2 linked regions of the Stegostoma tigrinum genome follow. The protein of the gene in region 1 interacts with the protein of each later gene in a pairwise test. Links are inferred from orthologs where the notes say so. Each region holds a gene or a part of one and is shown on either strand. Other genes may lie near its edges.

Region 1 (7,466 bases):
TTCTCATTTTGGACTGAAATGGGAAAAAGACTTCTTTAAAATTAAGGACTGTGGAAGAGATTGCTGCATAAAAATTAATCAGCTACTGTAGTCTTCAAATACAGGTTCACACAAATTACTGTCATCTGCCTTCTTGTTGTTGGCACAATGAACTTAAAAGGGGGAACAAAGGCATGGTAGTAACGATATTTGATTAGCCAGAACCCTTGACGAATGTTTTTAATATTATCTCTGTGCTGGAGAAACAGAGAAGGTCTTGCAACGTCTGTGGAGTGAATGCTTCTATTGCTTTAGAGACATGGGATCAACTTCGAGCACAACAGATGGGAAATTGAAAATTGAATCAATAAATCCATAATAATATATTAGTCTCATTAATAAATGCTCATAAACTACATGGTTATTGAACCAGAAGAGTCTTATGTCAATGACCTACAGTGAAGGCAATATGCCATCCTTACCTAGTACGACCTACACATGACTCCAGATCCACAGCAACGTACTTCGCTCTGAAATGATCTAGTTTCTTGAGTAATTTGGGATAAGAAATAAACACTGGCCTTGCTAGTGATACTCATATCCAAAAACCAAATGGAAAAAAAGCTTTGCTACACTTCAAAGGGATAATTAAGTAAATAAAACTGCAATAAGAATTTTGAAGACAGGTTAAAGACCATTGAGTGTTTAAGTAGCTTTTCATCAGACAACACATCATCAGTGGACAATCATTAACATGCAATTGCCAATGACATCTTAACTCTTTCTCTGAACACATCCAACTGTTTCACAAAGACTTGTGCCATTTCTTATAGTGTACAACTTTGCCTTATAAAAGGGCCAACTTCATTTAAACTTTTATTACGTAGTGTTTTAATTACTGATGAGAGTGAACAATTTGCCTCAAATCAGATTCATTTATCTCTTTCACAAACTTTTAAAAACTCCCTGAAAGTACCTGGTTTCTGCCCCTGCACAACACTAAAATGACTTTATTAATCAATCACAGTTGCAAAGGACAGATTACATATTCATGATCACATTGTACAATCCCTCCTCATTCTTCTTGAGCAGTCTACAGCCTTTCATGCTACTGACCACAATCTGGCCTTGCTGGATGGAACGATTATCACTTTTCTAATTATATCTAGGGCACAACCCCCAAATATCTCCGGAATTCTTGAGGATTGAACCTTGGATTTTTGTTTTCTAAATGTAAATTCCTAGATATATTATATCAGAGTTTTTCACACTTTTACCCTCTCACTCACCTTCAGAGCTGACACACATTTCTGTTGAGTTCTCCAAAGTTGTTGCATATGGATTGTTTCCCACCACCGGAAGGAGGCAGTCACTGTGGATATAACCAACCCTTGGTAATGTGAGTGTAGAAATGATCAGATCCACCGTTAGCTGACCAACATTACCCACAGACACAACTGGCTGGAACATCAAAAAGCTCAGTTATTTAAAAGTTACGTGTTCACTGCATTCTGCCACATGACTAACTTGATCTTTTGTGGTTCCACAGAAACAACACACAAGAGTAAGACTTTGGCCATACCTTATTTTAAATGCATTGGAAATTTTTTTTTTTTAAAATGTACATATTCATGTGGTGTTCGCTGCATCTTCCTCCTCATTTTCATCCACCCATAGTAGACTTGATATTGAGAAAGGTTTAGGAATGATTCACATCATGATAATATTCCATAGTCCTGTTTTAGACTAACAAGTTCTAGTTGGGCTGAATAGCAAGTATCCACACTGGCCAGGCTGTCATTGCAAATATCATCTTCCAAGCTCCCTTTGCTCTCCTAAAGTGTTGTCAACTCCCAGATCAGTGGCCATCTTGCCTGCAACTCCAGGTTTGCAACATATTCAAATGGCCTTTACCAAAGTCACAAAACAGAAATTATATACCTGTGACTGTAGTGCCTAATTCTTTCCCATCCTTCTCAAGCAGTCTTCAGCCTCAAACTCATATTTATGGTGCACAAGGAGGCCATTTGGCATCATTGTGTCCTCAAAGATCTGATCCCACTAATCCCATTTCCTAGCTTATGGACCAAAGCTCTGGAAACTATGGCAACACAAGTGAATATCTAAAGAATGAGTTTTGGACTCAAAAACCCTTTCAGATAGTTAGTTCTAGACAACCTTTATTCTATCCACCAATGATTTCTCATACGGTCTCTTGGTTTCATAATCTCCTTTTTAAGTTTCATATTTCTCTAGGGGCTCTTCTGTATTGAACATTCAGTACCTGCTGTAGGCTTCATTTTTTTAAAAATTCTAACCTTTATGAACCTTGACATCTAGGTTTCTCTGATCTTGTTCCCATCTGTTGTCTTTAACATATTTGCCACGTACACTCACTTTCTCCTACATGATTGCCAGTGGTGGGAAGGAATCTTAGCCACAAGTAACTGTGTCCCATGTAAAAGCCTTTCATGCAATTGACCACTTCCCACATCTCTAGCAATACCTTCAGAATCCCTTGAGGATGCACAACTCACCCCAATTTGCCACACACTGATGTCATCCTTTGAGGAGAGGAAGAGGACGAAAACTAGGAGCAACACGTTACATCTGCAAGAAATCAGGTCAAGTAGATCCATGTAGGAGGACAAGGCCAATGTAGGTGCAACCCCAGCATGAGTCTACAGTACAGCGAAGTCCACATCTTCAACAGTTCCCATAAACCGTGCTAAAGGCACACTTTACACAGAATGAAATGACACTGAACTTAGCAGCATGGCAACAGGCCATTTGGCTTAATTGGTTTATACTATTCAGAGGCCTCTCTCAGACCTTGGCCACTCATCTAGCAAGTCAAAGAGTAAACGCCAAGAAGGTATTTCGCCTTGCAAGAGAGTCTAACAGCAGAGGACATGGACTCAGAATAAAAGGGAGCCAATTTAAAACTGACATGAGGAGGAATTTCTTCCTTCACAGGGTTGAGTCTTTGGAACTCCTTGCCACAGAAGGCTATGGGGGTAAGAGTCCTCGTGTATATTTAAGACTGAGATCGATAGATTTGTGACCAGTTGGGGAAAATCAAGGGTTATGGCAAAGAGGCAGGAAAGCGGACTTGAGAAATGCCAGACATAGTAGGAACTGCAGATGCTGGAGAATCCGAGATAACAAGGTGTAGAGCTGGATGAACACAGCAGGCCAAGCATCATCAGAGGAGCAGGAACAGGAAAGCTGACATTTCGGGCCTAGACCCTTTATCAGAAAGAAGACGACCCTTCTTCTGAAGAAGGGTCTCGACCCGAAACGTTAGCTTTCCTGCTCCCCTGAAGCTGCTTGGCCTGCTGTGATCATCCAGGTCTACACCTTGTTATCTCTTGAAAAACGTCAGATCAGCCACGATCCTACTAAACAATGAAGCAGAGATAGTAGGAACTGCAGATGCTGGAGAATCCGAGATAACAAAGTGTGGAGCTGGATGAACACAGCAGGCCAAGCAGCATCAGAGGAGCAGGAAAGCTGACGTTTCAGGCCTAGGACCTTCTTCAGAATGGAGGCGGGGAAGGGCCCGAAATGATGCTGCTTGGCCTGCTGTGTTCACCCAGCTCTACACCTTGAATGGTGAGGCAGGTTCGAGACGCCGAGTGGCCTGCTCCAGTTCCTATTTCTTATAACTGTTCAGTTACCTACCATGACCAGAGTGTAGCCTTTCAGGCTTACGGAGCCATTCCCACTCGGAACGAAAACCGTCTCCATTCCACCACCTGAATTCCTTCAACCGCTAGGCGCTTTCTGATGACGTTCCCTCTTCCCAGACACGGGGTGGGCAATACATTGAGAGCGTCGCAAAATTGCGAGGCATGGGCGCACGAGCGTTGTTTTTCTTAAAATCGCACTTATTATAGGCAGCAACTAGCTACAGCTGTGCTTTGCAACGTTGAGCGATCAAATCCAGTTGTTGCAGATTTTTTTAGCATTGTGCCAGACAGTTGAACGGGCAAGCGCGAGGTGAAATTCCCGCTTCGTTTTCAAGCCTTCAAACTTAGAGCGCGAGCCGTGAGCCGATGAAGGGGCGGGGCTTGAAATATTGTGGGGGCGGGGGGCTTTGTCGTAATCAGTGTGAGGCTGGCCTGGGTGGTTGTCTAGCAGAGTTGGTGAGTGCGGTTACGGGGTTGAAACGCTGTCGGTTTGGTCTTTTGGAAACATGAAGTTGCTGGAAAAGGTCTGGCCGCACCTGTGAACAAAAACATCACAGAATTAACGTGTCGGTTCTCTTTCCGTTTTTATGTGGTGTTTTGGAGGTGTGCGCAGTTCGATGTCCGTCAGTAAGAGGGCGGGGCCTAATGGCCGTTGGTGGGATGGTGCGTTGCTGTGTTTGGGTGGTGGCTGCAGTTGCTACTGGAGATAAGGGCGGGGCTAGATGCTGATTGGAGGGTGGTGATAGGCGGGGCTTGAGGGCTGTTGGGAGGAAGGGGTGGTGTTTGTCGACTGCAGAGACGGTTGGCTGGCGGCGAGTTGTTTTTGTGTTGGGCTGCTGGTTGTGCATGTTGATAAACCCTGGTAAAACGGTCCCTAGCGCTATGTCGCTGCCGCCAGAAAAGGCTTTGGAACTCAAGCAAATCATTCACAATCAGCTGACCCAGGTGAGCTCTCACCGCGTCCAGCCTCGGGCTGGGGCCTTGATGTCGCCCAAGATGCGTGAGGCCGCCGTCCATATCCCAGATTATGTCTAATCAGCTACAACAATAATGGTTAACTTTTTAGCTCTTGACCTCTTTTTACGAGTTGCATTTCATAATAATTTAACCTGTTGAGTTATGATCTTTGAATGAGAGCAAATACTATGGATCTGAAATAATAGGAGAAAACGTGCGAAATCTGTGTAAAGCAAAATGCAGCATCTGTGTAAAGCCAGAAACAGTTCATGTTAACTGTTTACCTCTTTGTAGATTTAATATACAAATCATGAGCAGAAGTAGGCCATTCAGCCCTTCGAGCTGTTCTGCCTGCTCCAATAAGATCATGACTGCCTTGAAAACATTTAAGAACTCTATTCAACTGCCTTTTGATGAACAGAGGATCACAGACTCCTGTCTCTCTTTGAGAAAGCATTTCTACTTATCTTTGTTTTGAATGGATAACCCTGTATTTTTAAATAGTGACTTGTAGATCTAGATTCTCCTTTCCACATACACTTGGAATACCATCCAAAACTATGAGCTAAGTGTTGGAAAGTGGGACTAGAATAGATGGATTAGTGCAGACTCATTGGGCAAAAGGGCCTGTTTCTGTGTTGTAAATCTATGACTGTGACCTGTCAAGAGCCGTCAACATTGCGTATGCTGGCTAAATTTGCTCATGATGCCGCTAGGTAAGAAAGTAAGTTGTGAAGAAGGTATTAGGAGCCTTCAGAGGGATATAGGTTGTGAGTGGGAAATTATCTGATACATGGAACATAGAACAGCACAGCACAGGAATGGCCCTTTGGTCCATAGTGTGCCAAATATGATGCCAAATTAAAGTTATTCCTTTTGCTTGCACTTGTCCATATCTCTCTCCCCCCCCCCCCCATTCCATGCATATTCATGTGCTTATTTAAAATTTCCATAAATGCCCCTATTGTACATGTCTCCACCATCACCTTGGCAGCACGTTCTGGACTCTTACCACACTATTAAAAAGAGAATACAACTTTGCCTCTCGCATCTCCTTTGAACTTTTCCCTGTCACCTTAAATACATGCCCCCTCGTATTAGACATTTCAGTTCTCGGGGGGGGGGGTGTGGAAAGATTCTGACTGTCAACCCTATGTATGCATCTCATCATTTTATAGACTTCTGTCAAGTCTCTGCTCAGCCTTTGCCACTCCAGAGAAAACAGCCCAAGTTTTACTATCCTTTCCTCGTACCCTCTAATCCAGGAAGCATCCGCAAAAATCTCTTGTGCACCCTCTCCAAAGCGTCCACATCCTTCATGTAGTTTGACAACTAGAATTATGGCCTAACCAAAATCTTCTAAAGCTGCAACATGACATCATGACTGTTGCACTCCATTCCCTGATCAACAAAAGCAAGCATGCTTTACAATGCTAGCTCCTTGTGTGGCCATTTTTGGGGAGTTATGGCCTTTAACCCCCCAAGATCCAGTGCTGTTCAGGGTCCTCCCATTAGCTACACTTTTTCCTAACGTTTGATCTTCCAAAAATATAGCATCTGGATTAAACTCCATCTGCCATTTCTCTGACTATATCTCTGCAACTGATCTATATCCCGCTGTATCCTTTGAAAATCTTCTACATTGCCCATAACTCCAGTGATATTTTTTTTTGTATCATCTGTAAACTTACTAACCCATCCATCTACATTTTCGTCCAAGTCATTTATATATATCACAAACAGCAGGCATCCCAGTATGGATCCCTACTGAACACCAACATTCGTGGACCGCTAGCCAGCAAAACACCCTCCCACTGCTACCCTCTTGCCTTCCATGGACAAGCCAGTTCTGAATCTAAGCAGCCAAGTCACTGTGGATCCCATGCATCTTAATCTTCTGGATGAGTCCCATCAGGGACCTTGTCAAAAGCTTTATTAAAATCCATATAGACAATATCTACTGCTCTACCTTATCGATCACCTTTATCAACACCTCGAAAAATTCAATCAAGTTAGTGAGATATGACCTGCTAGGCACAAAGTCGTGCTGACTGTCCCTAACTAGGCCATGCTTTTCCAAATAAATGTAAATCCTAACCCTAAGAATTCTCTCCAATAGCTTCCTATCCACCAATGTGCAACTTACTGGTCTGTGGTTTCCTGGATTATCCTTGTTTCCCTTCTTGAACAGAGGAACAACATTAGTTATTTGTTCTCTGTTCTCACATACAATCTGAGAATTTTTTGGCAGAAAGATAAAGAAGCATGATATCTAAGTAGTGAGAGGTTGCAGAAAGATCCGGGTGTCCTAGTGTGAGAATCACAGGTGGTTAATATGCAGTAACCAGGCAAATAATCAGGAAAGCAGATAACGTGTTTTATTGCAACGGGAATTGTATGTGAGAGTAGAGGAGTTGTGCAGGGTACTGGTGAAACTACATCTGGAGTACTGTGTACAGTACTGATCACTGTAGTTTTGAACTGGTGTTAATGCATTGGAAGCCGTTCATAAAAGGTTTACTGGACCAATACTTGGAATGAGCCAATTCCCTTTGAGGAAAGGACGGACAGGTTCAGCCTGTAACTGGAGTTTAGAAGTATCAAGGTGATTTGAATCTTAAAGGATCTTGACCAGCGGATGTCAAAAACATGTTTTCTCGTGTGAGAATCAGGAACTAGAGGTCACAATTTAAAAGTAAAGAGTCATCCATTTAGGGACAGAGATGAGGGGGGTTGGTTGGAAGAAAAAACAGGGTTGAGAGTCTTTGAAGTTCCATTCCTCAAATGGCAGTCAACAGAATCTTTAAATATTTTCAAAAGCAGAGGGAAATAGCTTCT
Region 2 (7,126 bases), on another chromosome or scaffold:
AAATGCATTTGCCTTCTAGACTTTGACTGATGCTGAACAAAAATACACCCAGATCAAGCAGGAAGGTTTGGCGGTCATCTTCGGTGTGAGTGAGTTCCTTTATGGAAGTACATTTGTAATAATAACAGACAACAAAACCCCTGCTAGGCCTAGTTAAAGAGGACAGGGCCATGCTGCCCAAAGCTTTAGGTCAAATTCAGTAGAGGGCTCATATTCAAAATGCTTACAATTATAAGTTGGAACACCGTCCATGAAGCCAAGTGGTAAAAGTGGGTGCTCTCAGCTGTCTCCCTCTCATGGATATACCACCATTAGTCCCTCCACTGGAAGACTCTGTTCTGGTTTTAAACTTTCTGGACAACTTTCTGGCAATAGCAGAACATGGGCATAAAGACATCCTGTCCTAGCCAAACAACTGGTGGTGATGGAGTAACCAAAGGGCCATCACAACCAGGACTGAAACCTTCTTGAACCCACAGAGACTAGATCACCTTCAAGGACAGCATTTTATTATGGCAAGCAAGAGGGACTGACCCCAGCAGAGGTCTCCACCAGATACTGGCTGAAGTCCACTAGGGTCATCCATGGGGTTTCAAAAATGAAGATGCTGGTGAGAAGTTATTTCTGGTGGCCAGGATTGGATGCAGACATAGTCGTGTTGGTGGGGCAGTATCCAGAGTGCCAACAAGAACAAAAATTACCTCTAGTAGCTCCCCAACATTCGTGGAAATGGCCGGGTAAATGCTGGACTCGGTTACACATTGACTATGCCAATCCTTTCATGGGTTCTATGCTCTTAGTCATTGCGGATGCCCATTCAAAGTGGTTGAACATGCATAGAGTTCATTCATTAAACGCCGGGATTTGAAATGCTGCAAGCACCTTTTGCAATACACAGACTCCCAGATGTATTGGTCGCAGACAATGGGCCATCATTTACCAGCAGAGAGTTTGAGTATTTCTTAAAGTTGGATGGCATTAGGCATGTAAGGACAACTCCATGCAATGACCTGGCACAAAAAGCTGTCCAAACTTTGAATACAGGCTTGAAGAAATAGCCTGCAGCTTCAAACTATCCTGGTTCCTGTTTGATTATAGGTCCACCCCTCATGCAGCTACAGGGATAGCTCCAGCAGAGTTGCTAATGGGGAGAAGACTCTGCATCAGGTTAAATGTGATCTTCCTGGACCTGGGTTGAAGGGTGAACAGCATCAGGAATGCCAATGCTGGACACAAGACTCCTCTAAGCGAGAGAGACAGTTTATCTCAGGGGACAATGTTTGGTGCCAAAGCCACTAGAATGGCCCTGCAAGTGTAAGACGCATGGTCGATGTAACCTTAGGTCCCGTGACATACAAAGTTCAAGGAGGTGAGGCGATCCTGAGCAAGCAGGTGGACCCTAATGAAAGCTGCAGCCTTGCAAACAGGGAAGAAGCAAAACCTACCCAGCCCCTCAGAAATTCAGCAAGGCTGTTGGAGCTCTTAGGTTCTGTCCCCCGCCTCCGCCTAGCACCAAAGAAAACTCTGAGGATGAAATAGGCACAGCAGATGCCACAGCCTTAGCAACACTACCACCTGAAGAGGACTAATTGCTTCTGAAATGGTCTGGGCACAAGAGGTGGGCCACAGTCCAGTACGCAACACCCGTGTCTGAGGCAGAGTCGGAAGAACTGAACCTGGTGTGAAAACACCCGGGAGAAGCTACAAGAAAAAGAATGGGCCTACATCTCAGGGCTTAGAGAGGGGAGGAATGTAGTAACTAGATCAGGGTCAGCCAGGTGGACCTCATAGAATATGAGTTCCCTGATTGGGGCAGTTAACCAGGTCCAATCAGGGAGCCTTGGCTGACAGATATAAACAGGGGTATCAGGGGTTCTCTTCACCCTTGTGGTCAGCTCTGTGCTAGCTGGTTTAGTGTCATGTACTGTGCATGTGTAAATAAAGGGTGACTTGGTGATGGGACACCAGCCTCTGGAGTTATTTCACAGCAAGGTGAGACTTGGATTTTAAAATCTACTGGATTGTGGGGACAGGGAGAGCTGAGGAAAGAAAGAGAATCGATTGGTTAGAAATCCAGCAGAAAAAAAACAAATTTGAGGGAATGACTCCTGATACAATCAAAATGCAAGGACTGAAAGTGATATTTGAGACACAGCATTTAACATTGGGAACAATAACCACCAAAATGTCACCTTCAGAATTGTATCGAATACTTAGTCATTTACTTAAAATACAAAGCTTGTTTTCTGCCTTGACTTTCAGCTTTCACAGTGAAGGAGACATGATAGAAATTAAGGAGAAGGAAGATCTGGTAACAAGCTAATATCATAAGGTAAGTGCAATGTTGTGCTCTGTTTGCACTGTACCACTCAAAACCTACTTCACACACCACACATTCATATTTGGTAGGGTTCTCTTTTACCACCACAGTCTTGTTTATTGAATTTGTTTGCAATAATGTTTGCAGTAATGTAATGATCTTTAAGGGGAAACGTTAGAGTGAATCTATGGATGCTATGTTCACCACAGTGCAGCCTGTGTGTCACGCTCAGGAACACACTGAAATATTTTATTAGTGGTTATGAAAGCTGGATGATCCTGATATATAACACCAAATAGAGGTTTGTCCTGACGATGGAAGAGGGAAATGTGATGTGACATCAAGACAAAGAAAGCCATCTTGCTGTGGTTCTTTCCAAACCAAGTTACTGTAAAATGATTAGTAAGGATGGATTCATGTTGGTATCACCCTGGTTTCTGAGTCGAAATATTTGGGTTCAAATGTAGTGCATGAGCACAAAACCTAGGCTTGCCATACTGATGGAGAGCTAAACTGCCAGCACCGTATTCTTTTAAATCATGTCTACCTGGCTCTTGGGTGAATGTAAGATGTTCCATGACACCACTTCATAGAAAAGTGGGAGAGCTCACCATCCACGTTCCTTACCAATATCAATCCCTGAGCCAACTCTCAAATAGAGAGGATTTAATCATCACCATGACAATCTGTGGGGGTTTGCGGTGAGCAAATAGGCTTACTCATTTCTGACAGTAGCTATATTTCATCAAGGAGTTAATTGGCTGGAACACTCTTTGAGACAATCAGAAGTCTCATCTTTCTCTTAACACCAGCAGATTGTCAAATTATAGAATCCCTACAGTGTGGAAGGAGGCCATTTGGCCCATCATGTCCACACCAACCCTCCAAAGAGCATCCCACCCATTCCCATCCTCTATTCTATCCCTGTAATTCCCATGGTTAATCCACTCAGCCTGTACATCTCTGGTCACTAGGGGCAATTTAGTATGGCCAACCCAGCTAACCGGTGCAACTTTTGACTGTAGGAAGAAACCCACGCAGACTTAGGGAGAATGTGCAAACTGCACATTTACATTTGCCTGATGGTGGAGTCGAATCTAGAGTCCCTAGTGCTGTGCTGCAGCATTTCTAACCAGTGAACCACTGTGCCATCTAAATGATGATAACCTGAGAATTTAATATATGCCCAATGCAAAGGCTCCTCTATTGACAAACAACATTGCCCAATGTTATACTGAGTTCCACAGAACAGACTGCTCTGCTCAATCTACAATGAGGTAGCTGACCTGAACCTTAGGTGGTATAGAGAGGAACCGGAATAAATTTTCAACTTATCACCAAAGTCTAAGAATTGGCGCTGCTGGCCAGCTGTACGCTGTGGAGGTATTTCAGTGATCACCAGTTTTGGCTTCAGATTTAACGATGGGCAGCTGACCCAGAATGCCCATATAGCAAATTGGTAAACAATCCCACTGTATTTGATCTCTATGTTGTTGGGCACAGCGTTGGGTTCAGTAACTCGTTGTTGAAGAGTTGGACTCAAGCTGTAGGTGCTGTGTAATAAGTTGCTGGGTCAAATGGTTAATGCTAAAGTTATTTTTACTGAAATGATGTGCTTGCAGTATTCTTCATGCTTTCCTCTGTTAACTATAGATCATGACATTGTTGCGAACACAATAAACTCTTGATGAATCCCCTCCCCTGCTGCTGAGCTAGGGGTTTGATGAATGCAGGTCTCTGCAATTGACTCTGCTTAAAGTGTGAGCTATAAAAACCCTGAGAGGGAGCGACTTGGTATCAGAGCTGTGCATTCCAGTCTACAAAGGTGAGTGTTGCCATGTTTGAGAAAATACACTGTAATTGGTGTACAGTATATGGATCCACTGTAGGAGGACCATAACCAAAAATACTGGAACAAAATAGTTGAAAGAGAGAAGGTGAGTCTGGTTAAATAACATTTGTGGCTCTGAAGAAAAGATTTTTGAGTTCATCAATAAATCTTAACATTGCGTAGAACCTCGGCTCCACAGTTGAAGTTCAGTGACCAGTTTTGGTGTCTGTAGTGCAGAAAACTGTACAATGTGCATAAAAATTATTTGTGCAGGGTGCTAACAGGGGATACAGTTATCTGGTAAAAAAAACAACTGAACAGGCTCTTCTCTCCAGAAATGAGAAAGCTAGAGGGATAATCACGTAGAAGTCATTAACATGCAGTTTAGGGATTGATGGAGTAGATGTGTAGAAGATGTTTCCATTTGTGGGTAAGTTCAAAACTGGGAGGGGGTGTCGTGAAATCTAACACAGTCACTAATAAAACACAGACATGCCAGAAAAGCTTGTGTAGGCAGAGTGTGGCTAGGTTGTGGAAATTATCATGGCGGGGAGTAGCTCAGATGAGTATTTGGATGTATTTAAGGGGAGGTTCAATTATTAATGCATTTGTTACATTCAGGGAGTCCACGTTGCTGTGGCAACAGGCACTTTTACACACATGTTGTTGCCTGGAGCTACGGATAGTGATAGCAGACAGTCCAACTTTCTCCTGATCACTCGGTTGACCAGGAACGTCTCCTGCTCTTCCTGCCTATCCCTGGCCTGCGCTGTCAGGATTTATGTTTTGGTGGGTATTGATTCTCAACTTACATACTCAACATACACTGCTGTGTTATGAAGAGATCAAGTGCTGGGTGACCCTCAAACCCAGAGGCAGGAACACTATTCACTGCTCCATAAAACCATTTAGCTAGTAAGAACCTACATGTGAGAAAAGGAATAGAGATAGAGTGGGAGGAAGATTGTGTGGAATATGAACTTTGGCATGAACTTGTTGGGTCTAATGGACTGTTTCTGTGCTGTGGACCCTGTGTAATTTTACTTTCCTTTGATGTTGGGGCAGAGTGTTCAGTAACAAGACCTTTCAGTGTAATTTAGCAGAAGAAACAGGAGCAGGAGTAGGCCATTCAGCCCCTCAACCTGCTCTCCCATTCTTGATCTGCCCCTTGTTTCAACTCCTGATAGCCCTCAATGTGTGAAAAACCCTGGGTTTTGAGTTCAGTGAGCAGAGACCAGGGAGAGTGCCCTGTTTGTGGTGGGAGGGATCTAGGGATAGTGTAACTCTTGGTTCCCATTCCCAGATTAGTGCAGCAAGTCCAAAGGAGACTCACTATCAGGTGAGCAGGAGCTGGGATCTGGGAATGCCGTGTAGTTGGACACTAAAGTAACTGGTCATTAGAGTCCAGCAGGGTAGAATGGTTGTGGTCTCTCCCCTAGGCTCCATACCTTCATCCTCATTCTCCAAGGTGAAGATGGATGTGGCTCTGCCCACAGACTGTCTCCTTTGTCCCTAATGGGCCCTATTCTTTCTCTTTTGTTTTGGAAATTAATGAATCTGCTGCCACCACTGCCCACTCAGGCATTCCAGGACAGAATGACTGCTCACCCCTCACACAGGATAGTACTGTCCCTACAGTCAGCTTATGGTGTACCTTCTATCCCGAGGACAAGGCAATGTCAAACCACTTCAATGCTTTGCCCAGAGTGTGGTCTGACCAATGGGAATCCATGGCAAAGATAGATAGTTCTTGAGGATAGGGTATGGTTGCATTGGCACAGGTGCCCAAGGAGGGCAAGCTTCACATGTGGCACATATGGATTCCTGCAATGAGTGGTATGCAATCTGCCAGCGAGAGTATTATTGAAGAATGTGCACTGTCATCATTTGATGGTCACAACTAGACTTTAACCAGGAATGGCAATCAGTGAAATCCTGGCTGACTTCCTGTCACTTCCCTTAAGCTCCAGGAGTCAATTATTAGGCACTACTTTGAACTCAGTCTAAAACCTGCCACTTCAACAGAGACCATGAGCTTCAGACTTTCCCGTTGTAGAAAGAATCATAAAGTCATAGATCACAGAAGAGACCCTTTGGCCCATTCAGTCTGTGCCAAACTATCTACACTATTCCCACTTACCAACACATGACTCACGGCCTTGAATGTTGTGACATTTCAAGTGCTCACCTGTGTACTTTTTTAAAGGGTGTGAGATTTCCTGTGTCAACTCCCTTCCCAGGCAGTGCATTCCAGATTCCCACCATCCTCTAGTTGAAAAAACAATTTCCCCAATCCCCTCTAAACTGCCTGTCCTTCACCTTAACATTATGGCCCCTTGTTACTGATTCTTCAACTAAGGGGAGCAGCTGTATCCTATCCACCCTGTACATGGCCCTCATGATCTTACCCCACCACCCCCCTACCCAAAATCAGGTCCCCACTCAGCCTTCTTTGCTCTGAAGAAAACAACCTGAGTTTAACCAGCCTCTCTCCATAAATTGTTCCATCTCAGGCAACACCCTGGTGAATCTCCTCCACACCCATTCCATTGCAATCACATCCTTCCTGTACTGTGGTGACCAGGACCTCACACAGTGCTCCAGCTGGGACCTATCCAAAGTTTTGTATAGTCCCATACAGCTCACATACGAACACACGGTTCCCACACAGACCCTGGTCAGAACAAAGCAGCCTTGATGACCAGCCAAAATGCCCAGCAATGTAGACTGGCAGCTGAAACTTGCTGCCCAGGCAACCACATGAAAAATGTCCACTGAGTGTGGTACCAGAAGACTAGAGGTGCCAGCTAGAGGGCTGTGTTTAGTTCTTGGCATCACATTACTAGAAGGATATGATTGAACCGGAGGGAGTGAAGAGGAGAACCACCACGATGCTGACGGGGGTGGAAAATTTAAGTGACGCGGAACGGTTGGACAGGCTTAGGTTATTTTCATTGTAGCAGAGAAGACTGAAG

The links. The genes of interacting proteins can lie anywhere in the genome.
Region 2: the proteins of cep76 (region 1) and cryba4 interact in binary tests that used the Homo sapiens proteins (3 or more experiments, as listed by UniProt). The two-hybrid records come from large-scale screens. The link is inferred for Stegostoma tigrinum from reciprocal best matches to the Homo sapiens genes CEP76 and CRYBA4.

The regions. Positions count from the first base shown.
Region 1 is NC_081358.1:117,632,294-117,639,759, reverse strand, and holds the start of cep76 (centrosomal protein of 76 kDa), read left to right. Parts: upstream 1-4,446; 5' UTR 4,447-4,517; coding exon 4,518-4,616; intron 4,617-7,466. Other genes in the region: psmg2 (proteasome assembly chaperone 2), read right to left, coding at 1,269-1,440, 3,664-3,729. UniProt on the Homo sapiens protein: Centrosomal protein involved in regulation of centriole duplication. Required to limit centriole duplication to once per cell cycle by preventing centriole reduplication.
Region 2 is NC_081379.1:11,243,246-11,250,371, forward strand, and holds the start of cryba4 (beta-crystallin A4), read left to right. Parts: upstream 1-4,104; 5' UTR 4,105-4,145; exon of another isoform or gene 4,146-4,257; intron 4,258-7,126. UniProt on the Homo sapiens protein: Crystallins are the dominant structural components of the vertebrate eye lens.